Linked DNA regions of Canis lupus familiaris. The protein of the gene in region 1 interacts with the protein of each later gene in a pairwise test. Links are inferred from orthologs where the notes say so. Each region holds a gene or a part of one and is shown in the gene's direction. Other genes may lie near its edges.

Evidence for each region.
Region 2: the proteins of DZIP3 (region 1) and HNRNPF interact in binary tests that used the Homo sapiens proteins (3 or more experiments, as listed by UniProt). The two-hybrid records come from large-scale screens. The link is inferred for Canis lupus familiaris from reciprocal best matches to the Homo sapiens genes DZIP3 and HNRNPF.

Annotation. Positions count from the first base shown.
Region 1 is NC_049254.1:14,355,963-14,359,704, forward strand, and holds the start of DZIP3 (E3 ubiquitin-protein ligase DZIP3), read left to right. Parts: upstream 1-1,090; 5' UTR 1,091-1,464; intron 1,465-1,579; 5' UTR 1,580-1,710; exon of another isoform or gene 1,711-1,734; intron 1,735-1,776; exon of another isoform or gene 1,777-1,969; intron 1,970-3,742. Other genes in the region: protein CIP2A, read right to left, coding at 859-960. UniProt on the Homo sapiens protein: E3 Ubiquitin ligase proteins mediate ubiquitination and subsequent proteasomal degradation of target proteins.
Region 2 is NC_049249.1:3,803,419-3,807,160, forward strand, and holds the start of HNRNPF (heterogeneous nuclear ribonucleoprotein F), read left to right. Parts: upstream 1-1,266; 5' UTR 1,267-1,354; intron 1,355-1,668; exon of another isoform or gene 1,669-1,674; 5' UTR 1,675-1,739; intron 1,740-2,278; exon of another isoform or gene 2,279-2,423; intron 2,424-3,742.

The DNA of each region.
Region 1 (3,742 bases):
CAACGGTGGTTGGAATTGCACGAATATGCAATAAATGATAGGTTAAAAGCCTAAAATCAAATCGGAACACAGAAAGCTGTGGATAAGTGATCTAGATACAAATCAGTGGGAACTAATAGGAAAAAAATGAAAGCAATTTAGCAATATAGGTTTGAAAAATTTTGAGCAACAGATTTTGGTTCAAAACAAAACAAAACAAAACACAACACACCAGAGGGGCAGCCCAGGTGGCTCGGCGGTTTAGCGCCGCCTGCAGCCCAGGGCGTGATCCTGGAGACCGGGGATCGAGCCCCGCGTCGGGCTCCTGCATGGAGCCTGCTTCTCCCTCTGCCTCTCTGTGTCTCTCATGAATAAATGAATAAAAACTTAAAAAAAAAATAAAGCAATTTAGCAATATAGGTCTGAAAAATTCTGAGCAATAGATTTTGGTTTAAAACACACATAAAAAACAGGAGGGGCAGCCCTGGTGGCTCAGCGGTTTAGCGCCGCCTTCAGCCCAGGGCGTGATCCTGGAGTCGCGGGATCGGGTCCCACATCGGGCTCCCTGCATGGAGCCTGCTTCTCCCTCTGCCTGTGTCTCTGCCTCTCTCTCTCTCTGACTATCATAAATAAATAAAAATTAAAAAAAGAAAAAAAAGAGAAAGAAATGAAGAAAGACGTGCGGCTCCGAGCTCTCTCCACAACCAAACCCAAACAGCCGAATTTAGATTCCCCAACCCCCCGCCCCCGTCCCTCCTCGGACCCCGAGTAGCCGCCCCTCCCGTCCTCCCAGCGGGACGCGGAGGGCCCGCGGCAGGGTAGGCAGGTGGCTGGGCATTCACGGCCGACACTCGCCTCCCTCCCGGGAGCGCCCCTCACCTCCAAGTGCCGCAAAAGCTGGGTGGCATTCGCCTCCGACTTAACCGCTTTGTACTGGCTGATGGTCAGCAGCAGAGACTTCAGGCAGGCGGTGGAGTCCATGGGCGCTGCCGCCGCCCGCCCGCTCCGGCCGCCAGCTCTCGCCGCGCTTCTTTTTTTTGATTTTTTCCAGCTCCACCCCCTCACTCCCGAGGTTTCCGGTTCCGGTAGCGCTCCGGAAGTCCCTGGGCACCCTGGGGGAACCGCTCTCAGTGAAGAAAGGCGGGGGGGAGCGGGGGGGCGGGTCGAGGAGGCGTGCGGGTCCCCGGAGGGGGCTGAGCGCTGTCCTTCCAGAACCCCCTTCCCGCTCCCCACCCGGCCCTCGCTGGAGCCGAAAAGCCGCGAGGTTTCAGCTTCGAGATCGCGTGGAGGCGATCAATCTCGCGAGAAACGTGACTGCGGCTCAAACTTGCGAAGGGGCGGTTGGGCGCCGGCGGGGTCCCGGTTGCGCCGAGCTCTCGGTGTTGGTTCGTTTGCTCCTTCGGCCTTGCCGCGGGGTGACCGGCTTTTTCATTTGTGCGTCAGCGTCTACCTGAGAAATGGTCGCTTTTCCCTAGTCTAGACACGGTGAGGAGTTCTGAGGAGAATACGGGGCTCCGTACTGTGAGGCGGCCGGGGAGGGGCCTGTGGTTAAACTCTCCCCCACGTCCGCCCCGTCTCCTCAGGAATGTTTGTTTTTCAGAGCAAGCCTGTGGCCGTGGGATTCTGTGGCGCGGCCGTCCTGCCCTTGAGGTAGTCGTCCGGCTTCTCCCAGACAGCCAGCCCCGGGTGACTGCTGGGCCAGGCGTTGCTGCCGAGGGTGTTCCCACGAGCGTCAGTATTTTTTTTTTTTTTTTTGTAAGTGGAGGTATCTTATTATTACTATTTTTTTTTAATCCGGCGTGATCAATTGTTTTCCGAATCTCGGTGCCTGTGAACAGGGCACTTCGGTTTGCGGCGCTGTGATACGAGAGAATTCTTGTGCATGTGTGTAGACGGTGAACGAAGTAGCTGCTTCTGGAGCGTTCTCTCTGCCTGATGTCTGCTGACGTTGAATCGAGCCTTAAAAACCAGTCTGGAGAAATTGCTAAGAGTACATGTCCTTTTTATTTATTAATTTATTTGGCTTTTTTTTTCTTTTTAATTTTTACATGTCCTTTTTAACTAAATCATTCGTCATTAGTCTTTGTCAAGTCAAAGGAAATATTTTCTACATCACTCTTTAAAGGCAGTACTTCATACATTAAAACATTTAGCATCACTGTTTTTTTTTTTAAAGCGGTCCTTTTTATATCAAAACATTTTTAAATGTGAAGGTCTTAAAATAATAATGTAAAAATAATTGGGTGATTCATGTATCTATGGGTTCATTCATTCTGTAAACAATTGGTGATGTATGATTGAGGGTTAGAAGTGGCGAGAAAACAAAGATGAAGTATCCCCCTCCTGGGAAGCAACTGTCTAATTAGAGGAATGTACTAAATAGGGACTCCATAGGGAATCCACCTGAGTTCCGGAGGCTCCTGAGGTTATGTCAAAGAGCGATGCCAGGCTGTGTGCTGACAAACTCTAGTTCCACCTTTTACAATGTGACCATAAGGCAGACTCTTCACTGCTTCAGTTTCTCTCTTAGGTAAAATCCCAGCTGGCAGTAGTACCTGTTTAATAGGATAAGGTCGGTAATGAATGATTGATGATCGAGAGCCTGCAGTGAGCCTGCAGTGTACGAGGTACTTGTCTAGGCACTAGAAAGAAGATTTATTGAATAAAAAGTTCTATGTTGAGATTACATTCTAGTAGGGGTTAAAAAAAAAATGAGAGTGAGATGGAGAAAGAAAAAGTAGCAGAAATTCTTTTCCGAGAGTAAAAGTGTTTATGAAGAAGGGAGTTGGGTGGTCAGGATAGAGAAAGTGCTTCAAGGAGTTGAAGGACAGAGCCATGCTCTCCGGGGAGAGGGTCCTGAGGTGGGACTAGAAGGAAGTGTGTCACGGATGGCAAGGATGGATGCTGCACTGAATGGAGTAGAGAGCAAGGGTGAGCGTAGCAGGGAAAGTGAGGTCGTGTCAATTGGTGCAAACCATTACGGAATGAGTTAATCAACTTAAAAAATTTAGAGCGGTTGACTGGCATAATTCTGTTCCCAGCAGGTGTTAGTTACCTCCTGGTTCATTGGCAAATGCAGTGATAACAGGTTAATGTTAGACTTCTCAGTAATAATAACAAGTGCGTCATCTTCATACTTAATTCTGAGCCAAGGGAAGATGCCAAAGCTGCCAGTCATAAATGCCTTCTTTCTTTAAAACCTTGCACTTTAACTGAGGCAGTGATAGAAAATTTTCATTCTCTTCTGTAAGATATTCATCTTTAATATAAAATAGTGTCATTCTCAAAAATCTTCAAAAATTGACGATGGAAGTTTAGAAGGATGTACCACGATGGTAGCTGTGAGAAGCAATAAAGTATTGAGGCAGAGATACTCATATATCCTAATGTGAGAAACACAGAGCCTTATTTTAGGCCCACAAAATAAGAAGGAGGAGGAGATGAAGCTGGGTCCAGATGACTAAAGACCTTATTATTCTTGATCGTGAATTCAGTGATTGCTGGCTTAAAAATGGGGCCTTGATCTCTTTAGGGTTGTGCTTTAGGTTGATTACTCTCGCAGGTGGGTGAGCTATGATTTTGAGATAGATAAGGATAGAAGTAAGGAGGATGTTTAATTTGCTGCAGTCTTTCCAAAGGATTATCAGGATAATTGAAGTGGAAATAACAAAGAGGTGATGACAAATTTGAGAAATACAGATGAGGTGAAATAGGCAGGACTTAGTGACTCATTTCAGATGTGAAGAGGGATTTCACATTTCTG
Region 2 (3,742 bases), on another chromosome or scaffold:
AGATTATTGCATTGTTGGGCAGCCCGGGTGGCTCAGCGGTTTAGCACCGTCTTCAGCTCAGGGCCTGATCCTGGAGACCCAGGATGGAGCCCCACGTGGGGCTCCCTGCCTGGAGCCTGCTTCTCCCTCTGCCTGTGCCTCTGTCTGTCTCTCTCTCTCATTAATAAATAAGTAAAATTTAAAAAAAAGGATTATTGCATTGTTGATCAATAATGAACAGGGAGCCCCTCGAAGGGATCAAAGAGCCCGTGTAGCTTGAGTCTCTCTTAACGGACTATATAAACATATCTTCTTGGACCTGGCTTCACAGTCCCTTAATTCTGAAGCACTATTTTTTGTTACCGTTTTAATATTTGCCTCAGATTGGCTGCTTGCATTCTCTCTCCAGAACCACTTTTCTACAGTCTGCTATGATGAAGTCATTGTGGAGTTTTGTGGGAACACCTACCTGATTTTTGTAGGACTCATTTTCAGTAATTTTGCTTTAATTTTCTCCTTGTACATTTTCACCCCCTCTAACAGCTCTTCCTTTCACTTTTCCCATTTTTCTTTCCTAGAATCAGCTTTTGACAAACTGCTTTTTACTGTCATCCGCTCATAATCTGCCACTGCTCCAAACATTCCCTTAATTTAACCAGTGATTTTAAAATAATCTGTTCTGTGAAACCTGTGATGAATGCCTTGATCTCATCCTCTTTATAAAGAGTCTCCAAAAATTAAAATGGTGATAATTACTAACTCCAGAACACATCAAGAAGTCTCCACTGCTCTCAGGCTGGGAAGCCATTTCCACCCAGCCTTTAGTTTCAGGTGTTCCCTTGGGTCTTCTGGGTCACCTTCAGAGACCGGGGACTCCTCAGCCCAAGTAATCAACATGTGAGCAACCTCAGTGAACATGTTACTCCTTCCCTAAATTCTGCAATCGGAGCCGCCTTTATCCGTCTCGCTGTTTTCGGTTCCCTATTTTCTCCTTGGCAGGAAATTACTCTTTTTTTTCTCTCACGCTGATCTTCAATACCGGAGTCCTTGAGGTCCCGGTTTAGGGGGGGAACTCTCCCAGTCAGCATCTCCCGGAGCTCAACGCTGCCGCGGTCAGACCCTCCCCCGCCCTGAGAAAGGGCTGGCGCGAGGCAGCGGCTCTCCTCTCCACAGCGTCCCCTTCCGCAGGCCCCGGCCCTGCCCCGCGCCCCGCAGACCAATCCCTGGCTCCGCCCCGGGAGCGGCACAATGGCGCCCTCGCGGCCCCGCCCCTGGACGCACGCCGCGGAGGCCCCGCCCCGCCCCGCCGCGCTCCTCGCGTCCTTCCGGCTCCGTGGTGGAAGTAGCCCTTCGCCGCGTCTTCCTGGAGAAGAAGGTGGGGTTCCGCGGGGAAAGCGGCCGGCGGTCACGCCAGCAGCCGGAAGTGGGGTGGGGGCGCGGGCTCTCCGGGCAGCGGCCCTCGGGTGCTGGGGTGCGGCCGAGCGGGGACTGGGCGAGCCCGGAGCAAGCGGGCTGCGGGAAACGCCGCGTGCGCCCGACGGGCGGGAGTTGTGCGCCGGGGCCGGCCGCGCGCCAGGCCCCGCCCCTCGGGGCCCCGCCCAGGGCGCGCTGCCAGGGGTTTCCATGGTGATGGTAAACAAGCCTCAACTGCCTCAGCTACAACTGCCAAGTTCCCCGCGTTCCACCCTCCTCTAGGTGCTCAGAGGGACGATCGAGGTGCCGGATGTGAAGAGCGGGAGCGTGGAGACCCGGAGCCCGAGGTGAGGGGCGGGACGGGCGGCGGGTCGGAGGCTGAGGGCCGCACCACTGGGACGGACCGAGAACCGGGCCCTCTGGGCTGGGGGCGGCGGGGCTGGGATACGGATTTGGGGGAGGCTAGGTCTGAAGTCAGGGGCCTCACCCACGGGGACCGAATGGGCATTGGGCACGCAGGGGCTGAGGGTTGGGGTCGGGAGAGGCAGGGGCTGAGGTCAGGGACTGGGCCCCCTGGGGCTGAGAATTGGGGTCACGGAAGGTGGGGTCAGAAGTCCACGGCCGTAGAGTCGGGGACTGGACCCCTGGACTGAGATCGCGGGTGCGGGGAGGCAGGCCTGAGATCAAGAGCCATCCCCTCGGGGACTGGACCGCTGGGCTGGGATTCAGGGCCGCGGGAGGCAGGGAGGGAGGAAAGGCCTGGTGCGGCCTCCGGGGTTAGCAGAGCTTGAGCGCCCTGCCAGAAATAGCGCGAGGGCACCTGACGACCGTGGGAGAGGGGCTTCATTTAAAAATGAAAGCAGTACTTTCACGTGGTTGAGTTGCACCAGACTGGTTGGCAACTGACTCCTCCCCCCTCCCACGTTCCCGCTCGCTGAGCCTCCACTTTCGGTCTTTGAGGCCTTTTCTTCCTCTCGGTGTGGCGTGTGAGTGCCGAGCGCCGGTCTCCGTTTTGTCTCCTGCTTTTAGAGGTATTGTGTCTGGTTTTTGGGTAGAAACTCTTTGGTTCTCGTTATCTCTGCCGGGTGACCACACTTACGCGGAGCGAGCTTAATCGGCCGTTTCTTTTTCCCTTGCCCTTTATTTCTTTGTATCCTTGAATGTATTTTTTGCTGGTTCTTGACTGCGCCTAAGAAACTTCTGGACTCTGCCGGCGCTTGCGCTGCGCCCTCTACCTTCGGTGTGCCCGCGTGGGTCCCTGAAAGTGGCGCCGGGCGGCCTGGTGACGCCGGCAGAGTCCGGGGACTCGCCCGACCCCGTCTTTTATAGACCGGGTTAGGAGGCCACAGGCCCCTCCCTGTTGGTCTGTTCCCTTCAGGAGCTCTCAGGTTCTCGCCGGACAAATCCCCAGACCCCGGAGAGCCCCTTCCCCAGCTCCAGCAGGAACCCCCTCCCCCGCCGCCCCGCGTCCCTCGGGCCGGGCCCGCCGGCCGGACTCTCCTCGCAGTAGTTCCCTTCCCCCGAGGCCTCAGGACGCAGGAACGTGCTTCCTTTAGCTCTCACAGCTACCTGGGGGTGTCCGGGCTCCTGTCTGCCCCGCGGCCGCGTGCGTGGCGGGAGCGGGGTCCGCGAGCTACGGCTCGCTGAGTGGGGGGAACCGCCCGCCGGGAAGGGGGCCCCCGAGGTGCCCAAGGTTAACGCCGCGCCTCAGGTCTCCGGAAGTTGGTGGCGCTGGAAGAGCTCTGAACACTTCAGATACTCTTTCAGTTCAAAACGTGGTCGAAATTCCCTATCTTAAATGTAATTCTATTACTTACAGTCATTTTTTTAAAGGTTAACGGTTTCTGAATTTCTAGTAAGAATGAAAATACTTCGGGTTCTCCGGTTAGACAAAAAAATGCGTTGGGGTATGTCAGTGAAAAGTGATGTTTTCAGTGTTAATTTCTAGTCAAGATTCTTCATTTTGAAGTGAGTAAATTTCTACTTATGAAGTTTGGGAGAGGTTGCTGATGTTACTAATTACTGGTCTTTAAGCAAGCCCATCTTTAGTCATCTCTTGTGCCTGTATGCATTTCTGTAATTTGATTAGATTTATTACATACTAGGTCTTTTTTATTTTAGGTTTTAAAATAATTTTTTAAAAAGATTTTATTTATTCATGAGAGGCAGAGACACAGGCAGAGGGAGAAGCAGGCTCCTCACGGGGAGACCGGGGGAGACCGATGTGGGACTTGATCCTGGGTCCTTGGATCACGCCCTGAGCCGAAGGCAGAGACCCTCAACCGCTGAGCCCCCCTAGGCGTCCCTAGTTTTTAAAATTTTAACATTGTTTTTGTGGTATTTTTTTGGC